2 linked regions of the Daphnia pulex genome follow. The protein of the gene in region 1 binds, or shares a complex with, the protein of each later gene. Links are inferred from orthologs where the notes say so. Each region holds a gene or a part of one and is shown on either strand. Other genes may lie near its edges.

Region 1 (4,036 bases):
GTTTTGTTTGTAGGGATAACAAAACGGCCAAACCCAGATGTCGTTCGTATGCTGGTGAAAAATCTTGGTAGCGGTTGGTAGAAGATTAAAGGTGTGCGCGGGCTTTGTCTGAGAGATGGTAGTAAATCAGTTGTCGATTGATTTGTGTTTTAAGCAGTTCCTCCTGTCAAAATAATACAATTGAAAGATATTAAAATATGAAACGATAGTTAGAAATGATTGAATATACCTTTAACTACAACTATCACCAAGTGATCATCCTTTAGAGTCTCGTCAGACAGAGACGGAGCTGCTCGTCGGAGTAGATCGGCAGCGAATGGGCAAGGAGGGAAGGCGTAAAGGACGCCAGTCACATCTGCATTCTTATTGGCCAGCGAGATGACACCAGCCGCTTCTTTCTGCTTGAGATAAGTCACGAGATTGCGAAGCGGACGATTCTGGACACCTGCAGCCTCGTCGGAAGTGGGACTGGAAGCTCCGCCTGTCGATCCGGGCAGGCCGAGGAAGATGGCGTGAGACGCAGAAGCTGAAACTCGACGGGAAACGTCTTCCAGTTTGGGCGGATCCAACCTCAATCGCTGAGTAATTCGCAAATGAGGCTGGTTCTTCTCGTCGTGAAGCAAAAGATCGGCGATCGCCGCTTCGCCAGATGTCGCGTGTAATTTCGTGGGGAAAAACGAATTCTTGAGTACCAAGGCGCCCGTCCAATTGCTGGGAGAACGTCGAGCCACTTCCGCCAGCGTACGGGATCCAGTGAATCTTCCACCGTCGTCGGTTCGCCTTTCATTCGACGGCGATCGGGAACCTCCTCGGGCAGCGTCAAAATCATCCGGTGGAGGACGTCGGCTGCTGTTTGCCGACCAATCGTCACCATCGGCTCCTGATCCTCGATATCCGCTAGGCCTCTTCTCGTAGCCACTTCGGTTTCCTCGACCCGTCCGACCGGATCCCGCACGATAATTGGGATCATCTCCATTGTTCCAGTTGGTTTCGCCGGCATAATCGTCGCCAGCTCCACTTCTAGCGGTGGCAGCATCGTAGGAAGAAGACGATCCTTTAGTCTTGGCAGTTGGCGGATGAGCTGTCGGGGGATTGGTGTCAACAAAGTCAGTTTTCAGTTTCCGATCCGGGCCGCCCAGACAAAAGCCTCGCATGTCCTGAACGGCTGCTTGAGCTGCCTCAATCGTCTCGTACAAAATGTAAGCCGACGTGTCTCCTTTGTTGTATTCGATCTTCTTAATGGCGCCGAAACGGTCAAATTCACGCTCCAATTGTGCCAGCGACGTCCACGAGCCCAAACCTCCGACCCAGATGCGTGTAGTGGGCGTGGCTTTACCGTAACCGATCTTGACTTGAAATTTGCCAATGTACTGGCCAGAAAGCTCGACTTTACACCGATTGGCCTGGTCCAAATTCTCGAAACGAACAAAGGCGTAAGCGTTGCCAGTGCCTGGAGGCGGTCTCTTGATGTCAACATCCTCGACGATGCCGTAATTGCCAAAGATGCGACGCAGCTCTTCCTCTGTTATGTTGATCTCCAGGTTACCGGCGAAAAGAGTCCGAGTAGCCAATGGATCCTCTTCTGGCGGGATGTGGTGCAAATAATTTGGGAAACGATCTTTCTTGTTCTCGTAGCGGTCGTGATTTCGATCTCCTCTTCCACCGCCTCCTTCTTCATTGCGACCTCCTCCACCTCCACCTCCGCCGCCGCCAGCTCCACCGCCTCCACCACCACCTCCTCGACTACCTCCACCTCGTTCACTTCTTTCATAATGGGGGACAGGTGGATGTCCTCCAGCGCCGTAATAAGAGTGACCACGGTAAGATGACGGTCCACGGGGAGGATAGTCGTACGGTGGTGGACGATAGTCTCTGTACATGCCAGTTGGAGGTGGAGGACCATATCCACGCAGAGAATAATCGTAACGATCGTCGTACATGCGGTGTCGATCATCTGGGGAACGAGGTCGAATGTAACGCTCTTCTTCGCCTCGGTATGGCAACGGTGAATAACTTCGTGAACGCGCCCTGGTGCTTCGCGCGGTAGAGGGTTCGTAAACAGGTTCGAGCACAGCTGGTTTGTCATACAAGATGATTCGCTGCTTGCTGTGCCTGGCTTCACGAGCATCTTCAGGGTTTCTGAATGAAACATAGGCCAAACGGTCTTCTGGTTCAGCACCGTGCACCAACTTGATGCTAACCTCACCATACTTTTTGAACTCTCTGTAGAGCGAGTCTTTGACAACTTCGTCACTGGCTTTGGGATGGATTGAGCTGACAAGGAGAGTCTTGTAACCAGTCGATGGGGGTGGTGGACGAGACCTTGGTGGTGGGTAGTCATCTCGTTCCCTCATCACTGGTGGATCGGGAGGCAGAGGGTATCTTGATCGGTGACTGGGGCTGGGTGAACGCCTACGTCTTGGAGGAGGAGCTCCACCTCTCTCATCATCAGAGCTTTCATCATAATGGCCTAGGCTTGAACGAGAGCGTTTGCTGAAAGGCGATGCATCACGGTCGGACACGCGTTTCATATTGAAGACTTGTCAAACAATCAACGATTCAATGTTAAACAACGTAAACCTAGCAACAAAGATGAATTATCACCAACGACATTTTCACAATCACGTCAATATTTGAGAATGGATGAAAAACTAAACACACTAACCAATAAAGTGGGTCTTGCGAACAGTTATGCAACGAGTATTTCTCACCGAACCAGAGCTTAAAAAGAACGCGTCCGAACAAGTAGAAGAAAATGGCGGAGCTCTATTCTGAGTTTGGACTCGGCTTTGACAATTTTAGCTTCTGGGGGTGGGGTTTCATTCCGTGGCAGCATTGCAAAATGCTACATTTTAGCAATTTATACCTAAGAATTTAATATCGAGAATTTCCAATTAAACTCTTTATTTTAATTGGGAAATATTTTGATTTGTTTTTTAATTTAATATATCAATCAATATTTTAACAAATTCCACACAATGCTGTAAAGCCATTCAGCCGGCAGTCTGTCGTCTGCTGAATAACACGGACAACTAAAAACAGCAAAAATTCAAAACAACCTCATTAAGTACCTGTAAAAGTAAAGACATCGTAAACTTTACTACGATGCATGTATTGTTATTCAGTGTTAATTGCATGTTTCTAGTCTAGGTGTATAATTATGTCGGATAAACCATCGGAAGCTGCACCTGTGGACAAAGAAGACAATTGGGGTTACGACTTGTACCCCGAAAGAAGGGGTGAAGCTGCACGTGCGAAATGGTGGCAGATTGCTTTGTTTGGTGCTGGTCAAACCAATGTAGAAAAAACTACATGTGAAAGGAATGTCTACAATTGCTTTGAAAACAGTAAACATCTCTGAACTTACGTTTTCTTACAAAATTCAGTTGTAAATTAATCCTTCCATTTGATTCATTTAGGTCCTCTTGTTAAGTTAATGTACAGTGCATTAAAATCATCTGGATGGTATGAAATAAAATTAAGGTTTTTTAAATTTCATTTATGCTGCAATATCTTCTCGCATTTTGACATAGTGAAATTGATTTGAGGAGACACATTGCCTGTGAAGTTTGTGATGTCTCGGTTTCTGGTGGCTATGATCCAAAACTTAATCAAGTAAATATTACAGATAATAAATAGTCCTTTTTTCTCAATTAATAATGATAATCTTTTGATTATGTCTATAGATAGTAGTATGCCAGAATGTAGTTCGGAACAAGGGAATAATTCAAGGAATTTTGACACACGAAATGATTCACATGTTTGACGCATGTCGACACCAACTTGATTTTAAAAATATCCACCATTTGGCGTGCACGGAAATCAGAGCAGCTAACCTGACCCATTGTAGTTTCATGTCGGCCATGTTTCAGGTAAAAAAGTGTGTGATCAAAACGTTGAGCAACCTTTTATATGGCTTTTTAATCTACAGGGAGACGCTTCGCCTTTCCGAATCCGTAAACAACACGCCGAATGCGTCAAAATGAAAGCATTGGGCTCAGTGATGGCCGTCCGTCCAGACGTCACGAAAGAAGAA
Region 2 (3,589 bases), on another chromosome or scaffold:
ATTTTTGCAAACAAAGACTAAAAAAAAAAAAAAACAATATGTTAGATCACACTTCACATCAAGAATAGTAAGACGTCACGTTTTGGATCACAAAATTTCTTTCAAAACATTCATGTTGTAACCTTGAAAGCATGTGAGTTTCATTCAACAACTACCTTTAATGGCCCATCAGAAGCCATCCTTGGCGAAAGTATAAGCTTAAAATTCGATAAAAGGGACAGAATGGCTATTTGCCTAGGAAATTATACACTATGACAACCACTATAAAAAAACGCCGTTTAAAATACTGTCGACGCGTCGAGTGAAACTGAAATTTCGAAGCGACTTTTTTCGAACCAACGGAAACGTTGAGTGAAACTACAACGTTGCCACTCGGTACCGCCAAGTCAAAAAAATTTATTTGTTTCTCATTGGTTGTTAGAGATGTCTAAAGGGGTTGGGAAACCCCTTACTGTTATACTGTTACATTACATTGGTTTTTTTGGTACAATGATTTAATTGATAAATTAACACTTGACAACACAAAACAAGCTTACCTTTTCCTGTTGACTTTAAAAAGCCAAAAAATAAGATTGTCTGCGACTCAGATGAGTACTTGTGCTTTAACAACTTTGTAAATTTGTGAAGAAAGCCGTACTACTTTGTGAATAAATAGAATCTAAAACAACGAAAAGGTGCTTTTTCGATCCTTTTCCGTGTAGAAAAACTCTCAAACCATGCTGGTTGAGCTCTAATGTAATGTCTTTGATTGTTTCGCTTCAGTTTAGAGTGAAAAGGGCGCGTTTCTCTCAAAGATTCGAGACACTGACGGTACCTCTCTGCTCACTTTTAACACAGCGTGTAAATTTTGCCCTTGGTAGATACTAAACAGCAACAATGAGGAATCCCGCTGATCGCTGATGTGCCGAAAACGAGCCGAAACATCTTTGCCGGAGCTTGCTTTTTCTGTAATATTGTGACATGCAGATATTCAAATGTATTCAGTTTGCATACTTTTTAAAATTTTAATATATTTCAACTTGCAAATGACTTTCGAAATTTTAAATTTTTGAGTTTTGAAATACCGGAGTTCGGCCATGGTTAATTCGGCCGCTGACGGTTTCAATTAATTAATCAATATTATTTTAAATCTTATTTTAACCGATAGAATTCAAATTAAGTGCTTTGATATTTCATGCTTGCAAGTATATTTTGCCCTTTTCATCAAATATCGAAACAAGACATTGATTTACAAGCGGCAACTAAGGTAAATAATAATGGCGGACTATTGAATGGTTAGGGTTTTTAAATGTTTTGATATGTTAAAGGTGTACTCCACAGTCAACATTGAGCACTGTGTCGGTATTTAAGCATTTGATATCTATAATGGCAAATTATGTGGATAATTCCAGTGTACAAGGTGAAATCAATTTAAGTGGCTGAATCAATACAATCTGTATCACTGCCTTCTCCCTTTAGCAGAGACAACTGTCACAGAAGAAGAAAACTCTCTTAATATGGATAAAGTGGACCTTCTAAAACAGAGAAGAGAATTGTCCAGAAAACGGAAACAATGTCTCGTACAGACCGTGAGTATTTATTGTGCTTTAGTTTAAAAATTCACATTTTCAATCTTAGCTTACGTTTTTTTAACCAGTTGGGAATGCAGTCAGTGGAGAAATTGAAAGAGGCATTGGGAAGTGGCACAGATAGTTCCAAAGCAGAACCAGGAATGGAATTACTTAGACCTTCAGAGAAATACATAAAAAAGAATGCTAATGCCGACGGAAGTCAACAAGACGAAGAGACAAAACTGCTTTACACTGATTCGTCAACCTTTCTAAAAGGAACACAGTCTTCCAACCCTCACAATGATTACTGCCAACATTTTGTTGATACTGGACAGAGACCCCAAAACTTTATAAGAGATGTTGGCTTGGCTGATAGGTAAATGATTGGGCAAATCTTCCCTAAAGCAATTACCTACTAAATTAACCATTTTTATAGGTTTGAAGAATATCCCAAGCTCAAGGAACTTATTCGGTTGAAAGATGAATTAATCGCCCAGACAGCTTCGCCTCCCATGTATCTGAAATCCGATTTAAAAACGTTTAATCTCAAAGACATTGGTTGTAAATTTGACGTGATCCTCATTGAACCTCCTTTGGAAGAATACCAGCGTTCTTTGGGTGTGACCAACGTCGATTTTTTGTCATGGGATCAGGTAAATATATATTGAACCACAATATAATGAATGATTGTGAATTAATGGTTCTTTTTCCGCTTAGATTATGGAACTCGACATAGGTGAAGTTGCTGCTCCTAGGAGTTTCATATTTTTGTGGTGTGGTTCCAGTGATGGACTAGACTTGGGGCGTGTGTGCTTGCGCCGATGGGGATTCCGGCGATGCGAAGACATTTGCTGGATAAAAACCAATGCAGACGCTCCGGGTCATTCGAAAAACCTCGAGCAGAAAGCCGTTTTCCAGCGAACCAAAGTAAGACCATTTCAATTTCGTCTAACCAAATGCTTTTACTGATGTACTGATTTTGAGTAGGAGCATTGTCTGATGGGAATCAAAGGAACAGTTAGGCGTTCCACGGACGGAGATTTCATCCATGCCAATGTCGATATCGATTTGATAATTACGGAAGAACCCGAGTATGGATCTCTGGAGAAACCGTCCGAAATTTTCAACATCATTGAACATTTTTGTCTTGGCAAAAGGAGGTTAGGAATTTATTTTTACGGTCACTTCATTAGAATTTTAATTAATAATTAATTTTTAAGGCTCCACTTATTCGGGCGAGACAGTACTATTCGACCGGGTTGGTTGACGGTTGGTCCAGCGTTAACAAACAGCAACTACAACGCAGAAACATACGCTGGCTACTTTAATAGTAACTGTACGACTACCGGATGCACAGAAAGGATTGAAGCTCTTCGCCCTAAATCTCCTCCACCCAAAGGCAGCAAAGGGGCAGGAGGTGGACGCGGAGGTTTTACTCGGGGCGCAGCGCGTGGCAGGGGAAGATGAAATAAGCATTACTTAATTAATTTCTAAGGCATTAAATTGCAAATAAACGTTTTGAGTTTTCAATTCTGTTTTGCAACACTTCGAAAGTTAAGATAAAATTGTGTAACGCATTTAAGGAAATGACGCGAATAGATGATTCTGTTTAAATTACAAAACAATTTGATAACTTTATTGCCATTGGTATCAGGCAAAATTAATATTGTTTGGTAGAGTTAGACAAAAAATTGACAGCTATTTGTTAATTCAGAATAGGTTAAATGAACCGTGGCATACTTGTTAATACGAATAACTTACGAATTGGAAATTTGATTCACTTATAGATGGACCGGCTGTTTTAGCTCGAAAATTTGCGGTAGCGAATAACTGTCAACGTCAATATCGTCAATCCAAATATCCATGCAAAGCTTACTAAAAATCCCATGTAGACATCAGGCATTTCAATTCCCCAACCGCGGGAAAGAATACTTCTCAAACACTCGATGCCATACGTGACCGGTAGGAAACGGGCAACCTTTTGTAATGCCGGAGGCATCCCTTCTACCGGCCAACAAATGCCTCCCATCAGTAAAATC

The links. The genes of interacting proteins can lie anywhere in the genome.
Region 2: RNA-binding protein spenito-like (region 1) and N6-adenosine-methyltransferase non-catalytic subunit-like share a complex: the UniProt entries of both Drosophila melanogaster proteins name them as parts of the WMM complex. The link is inferred for Daphnia pulex from reciprocal best matches to the Drosophila melanogaster genes nito and Mettl14.

What each region holds. Positions count from the first base shown.
Region 1 is NC_060023.1:11,551,283-11,555,318, reverse strand, and holds the start of RNA-binding protein spenito-like, read right to left. Parts: upstream 2,808-4,036; 5' UTR 2,666-2,807; exon of another isoform or gene 2,581-2,665; 5' UTR 2,532-2,580; coding exon 230-2,531; intron 164-229; coding exon 150-163; 3' UTR 1-149. Other genes in the region: mitochondrial inner membrane protease ATP23 homolog, read left to right, coding at 3,161-3,347, 3,420-3,465, 3,534-3,615, 3,687-3,872, 3,932-4,036. UniProt on the Drosophila melanogaster protein: RNA-binding protein that acts as an associated component of the WMM complex, a complex that mediates N6-methyladenosine (m6A) methylation of mRNAs. M6a modification plays a role in the efficiency of mRNA splicing and is required for sex determination.
Region 2 is NC_060026.1:13,578,764-13,582,352, reverse strand, and holds N6-adenosine-methyltransferase non-catalytic subunit-like, read left to right. Parts: upstream 1-1,235; 5' UTR 1,236-1,365; coding exon 1,366-1,399; intron 1,400-1,458; coding exon 1,459-1,568; intron 1,569-1,636; coding exon 1,637-1,926; intron 1,927-1,986; coding exon 1,987-2,203; intron 2,204-2,263; exon of another isoform or gene 2,264-2,267; coding exon 2,268-2,477; exon of another isoform or gene 2,478-2,537; coding exon 2,538-2,710; exon of another isoform or gene 2,711-2,770; coding exon 2,771-3,017; 3' UTR 3,018-3,080; downstream 3,081-3,589. Other genes in the region: DNA topoisomerase 2-like, read right to left, coding at 1-17, 156-179; ABC transporter G family member 20-like, read right to left, coding at 3,352-3,589. UniProt on the Drosophila melanogaster protein: Non-catalytic component of the WMM complex, a complex that mediates N6-methyladenosine (m6A) methylation of mRNAs, a modification that plays a role in the efficiency of mRNA splicing and is required for sex determination.